Sus scrofa: one gene and its partner. The protein of the gene in region 1 interacts with the protein of each later gene in a pairwise test. Links are inferred from orthologs where the notes say so. Each region holds a gene or a part of one and is shown in the gene's direction. Other genes may lie near its edges.

Region 1 (4,276 bases):
GTAGCTCGGTCAGGAGCAGGAATTAAGCCCCAGAGCTCTTGTCAGCTGCAGTGTCCTCATGGGATCCTTGCCAGCAGGACCCTGGTACAAGCGAACCTCTCGAGTGTACCCTTGTGTCTGGTCCCTCTGGCTTAGAGCCTATGGCAGGGGAGAGACAGAAAAAGATGATCAGGGAAACCTGTAAGCTCTTGCTTCCAACAGTAGCAAGAAGAGGCAGCCAACAGTGTGGGACTGAGGAACTTTGCTCAGCAGCCTGCAGACCTCAGAGAACCCAGATTCTGGGGCCATTCCTGTTGGGACAGATTACCCCCCCCAACACACACTCTACCTCCTCGCCCCAAGGGCTTGGGCTGGGGAAGCCCATCCGCAACACCCCCTATGCAGGGCTCCTAGCCCCGAGCGAGGGAAATGGGCTCAGTTCCCTTTTAAAGAAGGCCCAGGAGCATGAGATGCATTTTCTGGTTTTGTTTGTGTTTTTGTTTGTTTGTTTTTGGCTGCACCCCTGGCATGAAGTTCCCGTGCCAGGGATTGAACCCGAGCAAAAGCAGTGACAACGTTGGATCCTTAACTAGGTGAGCCACATGGGAACTCCATGAGATGCCTTTTAAATGTGGTTAAAATGGCAGAAAAGAATGATTTCAGTGTTGAAAAGGCGAGTAGGTTTTGACCACATGGACAACGCTTGTGTATAGAATTCCTTCCCCCTGATGACGGGGGACAAATGAACTTCCCCGGTATTGGGTCTTGCTTGCAGTGGGTCACACGTAATTTCCTTCTTTCTGGGTAGCAACTGACATTCGTGATGTGACCTGGAGGTGGGTGTAGGGGCAGTCACGGGGCAGAAGGTCACAGAGAAATAGTGATTCAGGGCAGCCAGGATGCAGGGCAGCCCAGCCCAGGGTTTGTGCACATAACCGCTACCTGGCAAGGATGCGTTTGACCCATCAGCCTCAGACTTAAGGGCCCTGCACACTCCCACCACATGATTTACCTGTCAGAAGACGTACAGACAGGGCATGGAGTACCCCTGAAGTTCAGGGAGGATTGGGGGACAGAAGCTGTGATAGTGGGCTGATGGGGGAGGGGCCAGGGGCCAGCCAGGCACAATGGGGCCCCACATTCTCCTGGAGAGCCCTTGATCTCTGGAATTTGTCTATATTTAGCAGGTGGCTGGGCAGGGTGCAGATAAGGAGGGCCTGGGGAGGGGGCAGCCCCTTATATAGTAGGGGGACGGGTGCCTGCTCAGATTCTCTTTGGGGAGCCTGTGCCTGCTCGGTTCCTGGTGACCTCTCCGAGATGCCTGAGCCAGGGAAGAAACCAGGTAGCCCCAGGCCTGGGTTGGGGCTGAGTGTGGGGCAGGGAGGGCTGGGGGCATCTGCAATTGGGGGGGGCCTAGGAGCAAGTTCCTGAGGGGGATGAGGCCTCTGAGCCCCAGGACAGGGGGAACTGTCCTCCTGGGCCTTTTTTTTTTTTTTTCTTTTTTTAGGGCTGCATTCACAGCATTATGGAGGTTCCCAGGCCAGGGGTCAAATCGGAGCTGCAGCTGCCAGCCTAAACCATAGCTCATGGCAACGCCAGATCCTTAACCCACTGAGCGAGGCCAAGGATCGAACTCACATCCTTATGGATATTTGTCAGGTTCGTAACCAGCTGAGCCACAACGGGAACTCCATCCTGGGCCTTTTGCGATTCTTAGTTTCTCCTTTCCATCCTTCTGATGAAAGTAAACCAGAGTCAGGAGTACAGAGGGGAAGAGAGTCAGGGCAGAAAGCCCCAAGGGCAGTTGCTCTACTCTCAGGACGCAGGGAGACCCCTTCTCTGCCTCCATCCCATCCCTGCAGCAAAATTAGGCCTGGACTTGCCGTTTGGGAAAAAGTTGCTGCAGGAGGGCCCCCAGGATGACTCTAGACTTGAGCCAGAGTTCCCGTCATGGCGCAGTGGTTAACAAATCCGACTAGGAACCATGAGGTTGAGGGTTCGGTCCCTGCCCTTGCTCAGTGGGTTAACGATCCGGCGTTGCCGTGAGCTGTGGTGTAGGTTGCAGACGCGGCTCGGATCCCGTGTTGCTGTGGCTCTGGCGTAGGCTGGTGGCTACAGCTCCGATTCGACCCCTAGCCTGGGAACCTCCATATGCCGCGGGAGCGGCCCAAAGAAATAGCAAAAAAAAAAAAAAGGCATTCCCATTGTGGCTCAGCAGGTTAAGAAGCCAACTAGTATCCACGAGGATGCAGGTTCAAGGCCTGGCCTCGCTCAGTGGTTAAGGATCCAGTATTGCCGAAAGCTGTGGTATAGGTCACGGATGTGGCTCAGATCTGGCACCGCTGTGGTTGTGATGCAGGCCTGCAACTGCAGCTACAACTCAACCCCTAGCCCGGGAACTTCCATATGCCACAGGTTCAGCCCCAAAAAGAAAAAGAAAGTCTCAAATTAGACTTGAGCCAGTCTCACTCAACACTCTTAGACAAGTCCCTCCCCTCTGGGTCCCAGTTTCCCTATCTATACAACAAGGGGTTGGGTTGCCTCCTTCCAGCTTTGAAAGTCTTTGCTTTCTGACCCTGCACCCTTGTGGCCCCCACACCAGACATGGCCCCCCCACGCAGCCCCTCTGCTCTGGGAGAGGATGGTTAGGAAGCCCCTGAACCCCAGCCAAGGGCAGAGAAAGTCACAGCCCAGAGTTCTTACCAAGGTTGTCCTGGTCAGGGTCAGCTCCCCAGCCCAGCCCCCTCCCAGGCCAGCTTTATCTCAGTTGCTGATTCTCAGCCTGAGGCCCTTAGAGGCCAAATTTAGCCATGTCCCTTGCCAAGGGCCCCTGTTGGTGGGGGAAGGGGGGTTGGGCTTCCACAGGCTGGGAGGGTGATGTATCCAGGGATATACCCAGCAAAATTTGTGTGTGGAGGTTAGACCACAAGCTTGGCTGTGCCGCCTATAGGCTGTGTGATCTTGGGTAGGTCACTTAACTTCTCTGAACCTTGGAGTCCTCATCTGAGAAATGGGCATGATAGCTGCTCCTACTTCATATAGCCGCTGGAGTATTAAATGGGGTGATGTGATTTTCAGCATATTTCATCATTAAAGCACTTATCTCCATGTTTAATAAGAGGGGCTTCAGGGGTGGGGTGCATAGGCAAGCCAGGGGCCCCTGCAGACTCTGCTGGCCCCCCAGTCTCTGCCTTCAGCAAGAAGCCACGGTCAGTGGAGGTGGCTGCTGGCAGTCCTGCTGTGTTCGAGGCCGAGACTGAACGGGCAGGAGTGAAGGTTCGCTGGCAGCGGGCAGGCAGTGACATCAGCCCCAGTGACAAGTACGGCCTGGCAGTCGAGGGCACACGGCACACACTGACTGTGCGGGATGTGGGCCCTGCCGACCAGGGGTCTTACGCAGTCATCGCCGGCTCCTCCAAGGTCAAGTTTGACCTCAAGGTCTTAGAAGCAGGTAAGACCCTGGGCAGCCTTCCCTGAAGTTGAGCTTCTGGGGGCAGGGGCAACCCCGCCACCTCTCCATCGCCCAGGGTGCAGGAGGTGTTTTCCCACTTTCTTGCCTTTGCTTTGGCTGTGCCCTCAGCCAGCATTGGCTTTTTTGTGTTTTCTGTAGCAAGACCTCTCCGAGTGTCCCCACATGACTCCCTGGCCTTCTCAGCCGTTGTGGAGGTGGGGGAAATTCAGAGATGAATGACATAATGCTGCCCTCCCACTGGACACCCCCACACCGATGGGAACTTGGTGGGCTGTGTGTTGGCAGGGAAGCCCCACGAGCCTGTGGGCTTGGAGGAAGCCCCCGCCCTGCCTCTGTGCGGGGGTGGGGGGGGTGGACCAAGACCAGAGTCTAGGGAAAGACAGGAGGGATATTCAGGCTGACCCACCAGGATGTGGGCACTGGCGGCCAGTGAGGATGAAGAGAGGGCGAGACACAGGCAGGATGAAACTTTGCCCATACTGCACAGATGGGAAGGGCCAGGGACAGGAGGAGAGGTCTCTGTTTAGAAGCTGCTCCATGATCCCCCTCCCCAACCCCCTCCAGGGAAGGCAGAGCCTGTGCCAGGACCTGCTTCTGCCCCTACCGAGGCTCCTGGTGCCCCTGGAGAAGCCCTGGCCTCAGCCACCGAGGTAGAAGGAGGCTCTCCGAGTCCCGAAGGTAAGAGAGGCGGGGTGGGGAGGCCAGGCCAGTGGGTGGGACTGTCCCAGGCCAGGTCTCAAAGGCCTCTGCTCACAGGATCAAGCTCAGCAGCCCCCGATGGCCCTAGTGCCCCTGACGACCCCATCGGCCTCTTTGTGATGCGGC
Region 2 (3,085 bases), on another chromosome or scaffold:
AGGCCGCCATGATGGCGGAGGAGCTGAAGAAGGAGCAGGACACCAGCGCGCACCTGGAGCGCATGAAGAAGAACATGGAGCAGACCATCAAGGACCTGCAGCACCGGCTGGACGAGGCCGAGCAGATCGCCCTCAAGGGCGGCAAGAAGCAGCTGCAGAAGCTGGAGGCCCGGGTGCGGGAGCTGGAGAATGAGCTGGAGGCCGAGCAGAAGCGCAACGCGGAGTCGGTCAAGGGCATGAGGAAGAGTGAGCGTCGCATCAAGGAGCTCACCTACCAGGTGCGGGCACGGGGGCCACGCTGGGACCGGGCCCTCAGGAGTGGATATGAAAGCGTGTCCCTCAGTCCACCTCCTGACCCTTGAGGGCCCCATGCACAGCCACCTTCCAGGAAGGCCACCCAGCCCTCCTGCCGGGCCCTCTGCATCAGGACCTGAAGCCAGGGTGACAACCACCCCAGAGGGATTAAGTATTTTTTCTTAGCATCTTCCAGGGCAAGGGGTGAGAGTACAGCCCCTAGCTGCCCTGTTCCTACTCTTCCTGGCCCCGTCCTACCCTGAGTCTCCCCTGGCTCAGAGAGCTATCTCTGAGCCTCCTGGCCTTCAAGCTCCACCTCACCATTCACCCTCTGCCTGTCCCCTGGAGACATACCCAGAGCTCCAGCAGAGCTCACCCAGCATGATCACCAGAAAGCAAATAGGTAGCCAATCCTTAGCGTGGTGTTATCATCACCAAAATACACCCAAGCCATTAAAATGAGTCTCAGAACTTCTCTGCTACTCAGGGAGGTATAGGCTTTAGCTCTCATGATGTTTCCTAGAATCAGACTATCAATTAGATTTTGTTTCTGTTCCAATCTGCAAAAAATTGCCATCCCACTGTGTATACTCGTCTTAAACCTAGATCAAGTCTATGTCATTTCCCAGCATCCCAGGAAATCCCATCAGGTGTGCAGTCCCAGAGTTTCTGCCAGCCATGCTGGGTTCTTGGAATAGAGGGTTTATCCTCCATGGGGCCCCAGGATACCCCAGGGCCTGCTCCCTGGAACAGTGCCTACTCCCTGGAACAGTGCTCACACAGTTTTGTGTGTAATTTCAGGAGGCCCATCAGCTCCCTAGATTCTTTCTTGGTACATACTTTTTTTATATATATAAGAAATTGTAAGAATTCAACTATTTGGTGAGGATCCAAAAGTTGAATTGGGTCAGGATATTACATTAATGTTAAGATGAGTGGGGGAGGGGCCACACTGCTTCCCATGATGGTGCCAAACTCACTCCTTCCTGCCAACCCCCTCCACGACCCCCAGACGGAAGAGGACAGGAAGAACCTGCTGCGGCTACAGGACCTGGTGGACAAGCTACAGCTGAAGGTCAAGGCCTACAAGCGCCAGGCCGAGGAGGCGGTGAGTGACCCTGTGGGGCCCGGGCCTGGAGAGGCAGGTAGCTGGTCTCCAGGATGGGAGGCTAAGAACCCCTGGCCCCTCTCACTCATCCTGCCACCCCTGAACCCCCACAGGAGGAACAGGCCAACACCAACCTGTCCAAGTTCCGCAAGGTGCAGCACGAGCTGGATGAGGCGGAGGAGCGGGCGGACATCGCTGAGTCCCAGGTCAACAAGCTTCGGGCCAAGAGCCGTGACATCGGCACCAAGGTGGGTTGTCCCCATGGCAGCACCCTGCCAACATCAGTGCCCCTCAGACAGAGCCCCTCACACCAGGATTCCTCCCCTTCATTCATCCCCCACGACTAAACCCCATGGCCCGAGAGGCAAGGTAACTCAGTCTCCTGTGATTTCTAAGCTTCTTCCAGCTCTAACTTCCAATGATTTTGTGGTCAGCAACCCTAGAAGACCCCATTTTGTATACACCCAGTGTGTCCCAATGTCCCCCATCTGCTATCTCTACTTCTCTTCCATTTAGTTTACATCTAGGCCTACAATCTTGTAACTCCAACCTAAGATGCATGCACTTCCTTGTCCTCACCCAAGCAGCATTCCTCCAGCTGACCCGAGCCCACCTTCCAGAACTGCCTTCCACACTGACCCCTAGGACTCACCTCCCACTGCCACAGGGCCTCCCTCAGGCCACACAGTGGTCCTCCCCTCTGTGGGTGCCCATCTCCCCTTTGTTGTATGTGTCCATCCCTGTACCCACCTCTCGGGAGCTAATTTGGACTTTGTTTCCTTTTAAAAGGGCTTGAACGAGGAGTAGATTTGCCACATCTTGATCTGCCCCATCCTGAGGGCGCAACAAAGCTCCCAGTCCTGGAGCCTGGAGAGCAGCCCCTTTGGAGGAAGCAGAATAAAGCACTTTTCTTTGAAGTGAGATGCTGCCTCTAGACTCTTCTTCACGGCCTGCCAGCCACAGGAACACAGGGACACAGACATGGGGATGGGGGGGGGGTGACTCCAGGAGGCTTCCCTGGTGAGCCCATGAGGCTCGGAACATCCTACTGCAACAATGCTACATGCTCCTTGCACCTCCTCAGCAGGTGAAAGCTCTCCTCCCAGCCCTCTCCCTGGCCCAGAGACACTGGGGATTAAAGGAGATTTGGGGAAACCCTTAAGGCTCTCCTAGAAAATGTAAGCCCACCTGCTGTGAACCTAAACCTCAGATCTGATCAACACTACCCCCACAGCTGATAACACCAGGGCTGTGAGGAGGAGGCTGGGCATGTAGGGGTGCCCTCTGAGGCATGACCAACTTGGACAGGGGATAATGGCTCCCAGCCCTGGTCCAAGGCAAGGGTCTGAAAGGGCACGAGGTCTTGCAGCTATAGCCCATCCCTGCAGACATGGCCTCCATGGTCTCCAACCACCCCAGAGGCCAGCGCCTCCTCCCCCAGCACCACCGGGAGAACTGTACCCTAGCCCACCCTCCTCTCCTCTTCATTCCAGCTTCTCTAGCACTACACTCTTCTCCTTTCTTCCCATGGTAGCTTCTATTCCCAAGACCCTCCTCTTCTGGACCTGCTGGAAGATGGAGGTTCACTGGCTCCTTTAGAGCAGGCCATCTGGAGGGAAGGCAGACAGATGAGGGACTGAGAAGAGCCACATGTGAGCAGGACCCTGGGGAGAGGACGGGATG

What was found. The genes of interacting proteins can lie anywhere in the genome.
Region 2: the proteins of MYBPC3 (region 1) and MYH7 interact in a two-hybrid assay, tested with the Homo sapiens proteins (2 studies listed by IntAct). The link is inferred for Sus scrofa from reciprocal best matches to the Homo sapiens genes MYBPC3 and MYH7.

Annotation. Positions count from the first base shown.
Region 1 is NC_010444.4:15,246,465-15,250,740, forward strand, and holds the start of MYBPC3 (myosin-binding protein C, cardiac-type), read left to right. Parts: upstream 1-1,214; 5' UTR 1,215-1,296; coding exon 1,297-1,321; intron 1,322-3,163; coding exon 3,164-3,430; intron 3,431-4,015; coding exon 4,016-4,129; intron 4,130-4,207; coding exon 4,208-4,276. UniProt on the Homo sapiens protein: Thick filament-associated protein located in the crossbridge region of vertebrate striated muscle a bands. In vitro it binds MHC, F-actin and native thin filaments, and modifies the activity of actin-activated myosin ATPase.
Region 2 is NC_010449.5:75,670,586-75,673,670, forward strand, and holds the end of MYH7 (myosin-7), read left to right. Parts: intron 1-2; coding exon 3-278; intron 279-1,306; coding exon 1,307-1,402; intron 1,403-1,515; coding exon 1,516-1,650; intron 1,651-2,191; coding exon 2,192-2,209; 3' UTR 2,210-2,323; downstream 2,324-3,085. UniProt on the Homo sapiens protein: Myosins are actin-based motor molecules with ATPase activity essential for muscle contraction. Forms regular bipolar thick filaments that, together with actin thin filaments, constitute the fundamental contractile unit of skeletal and cardiac muscle.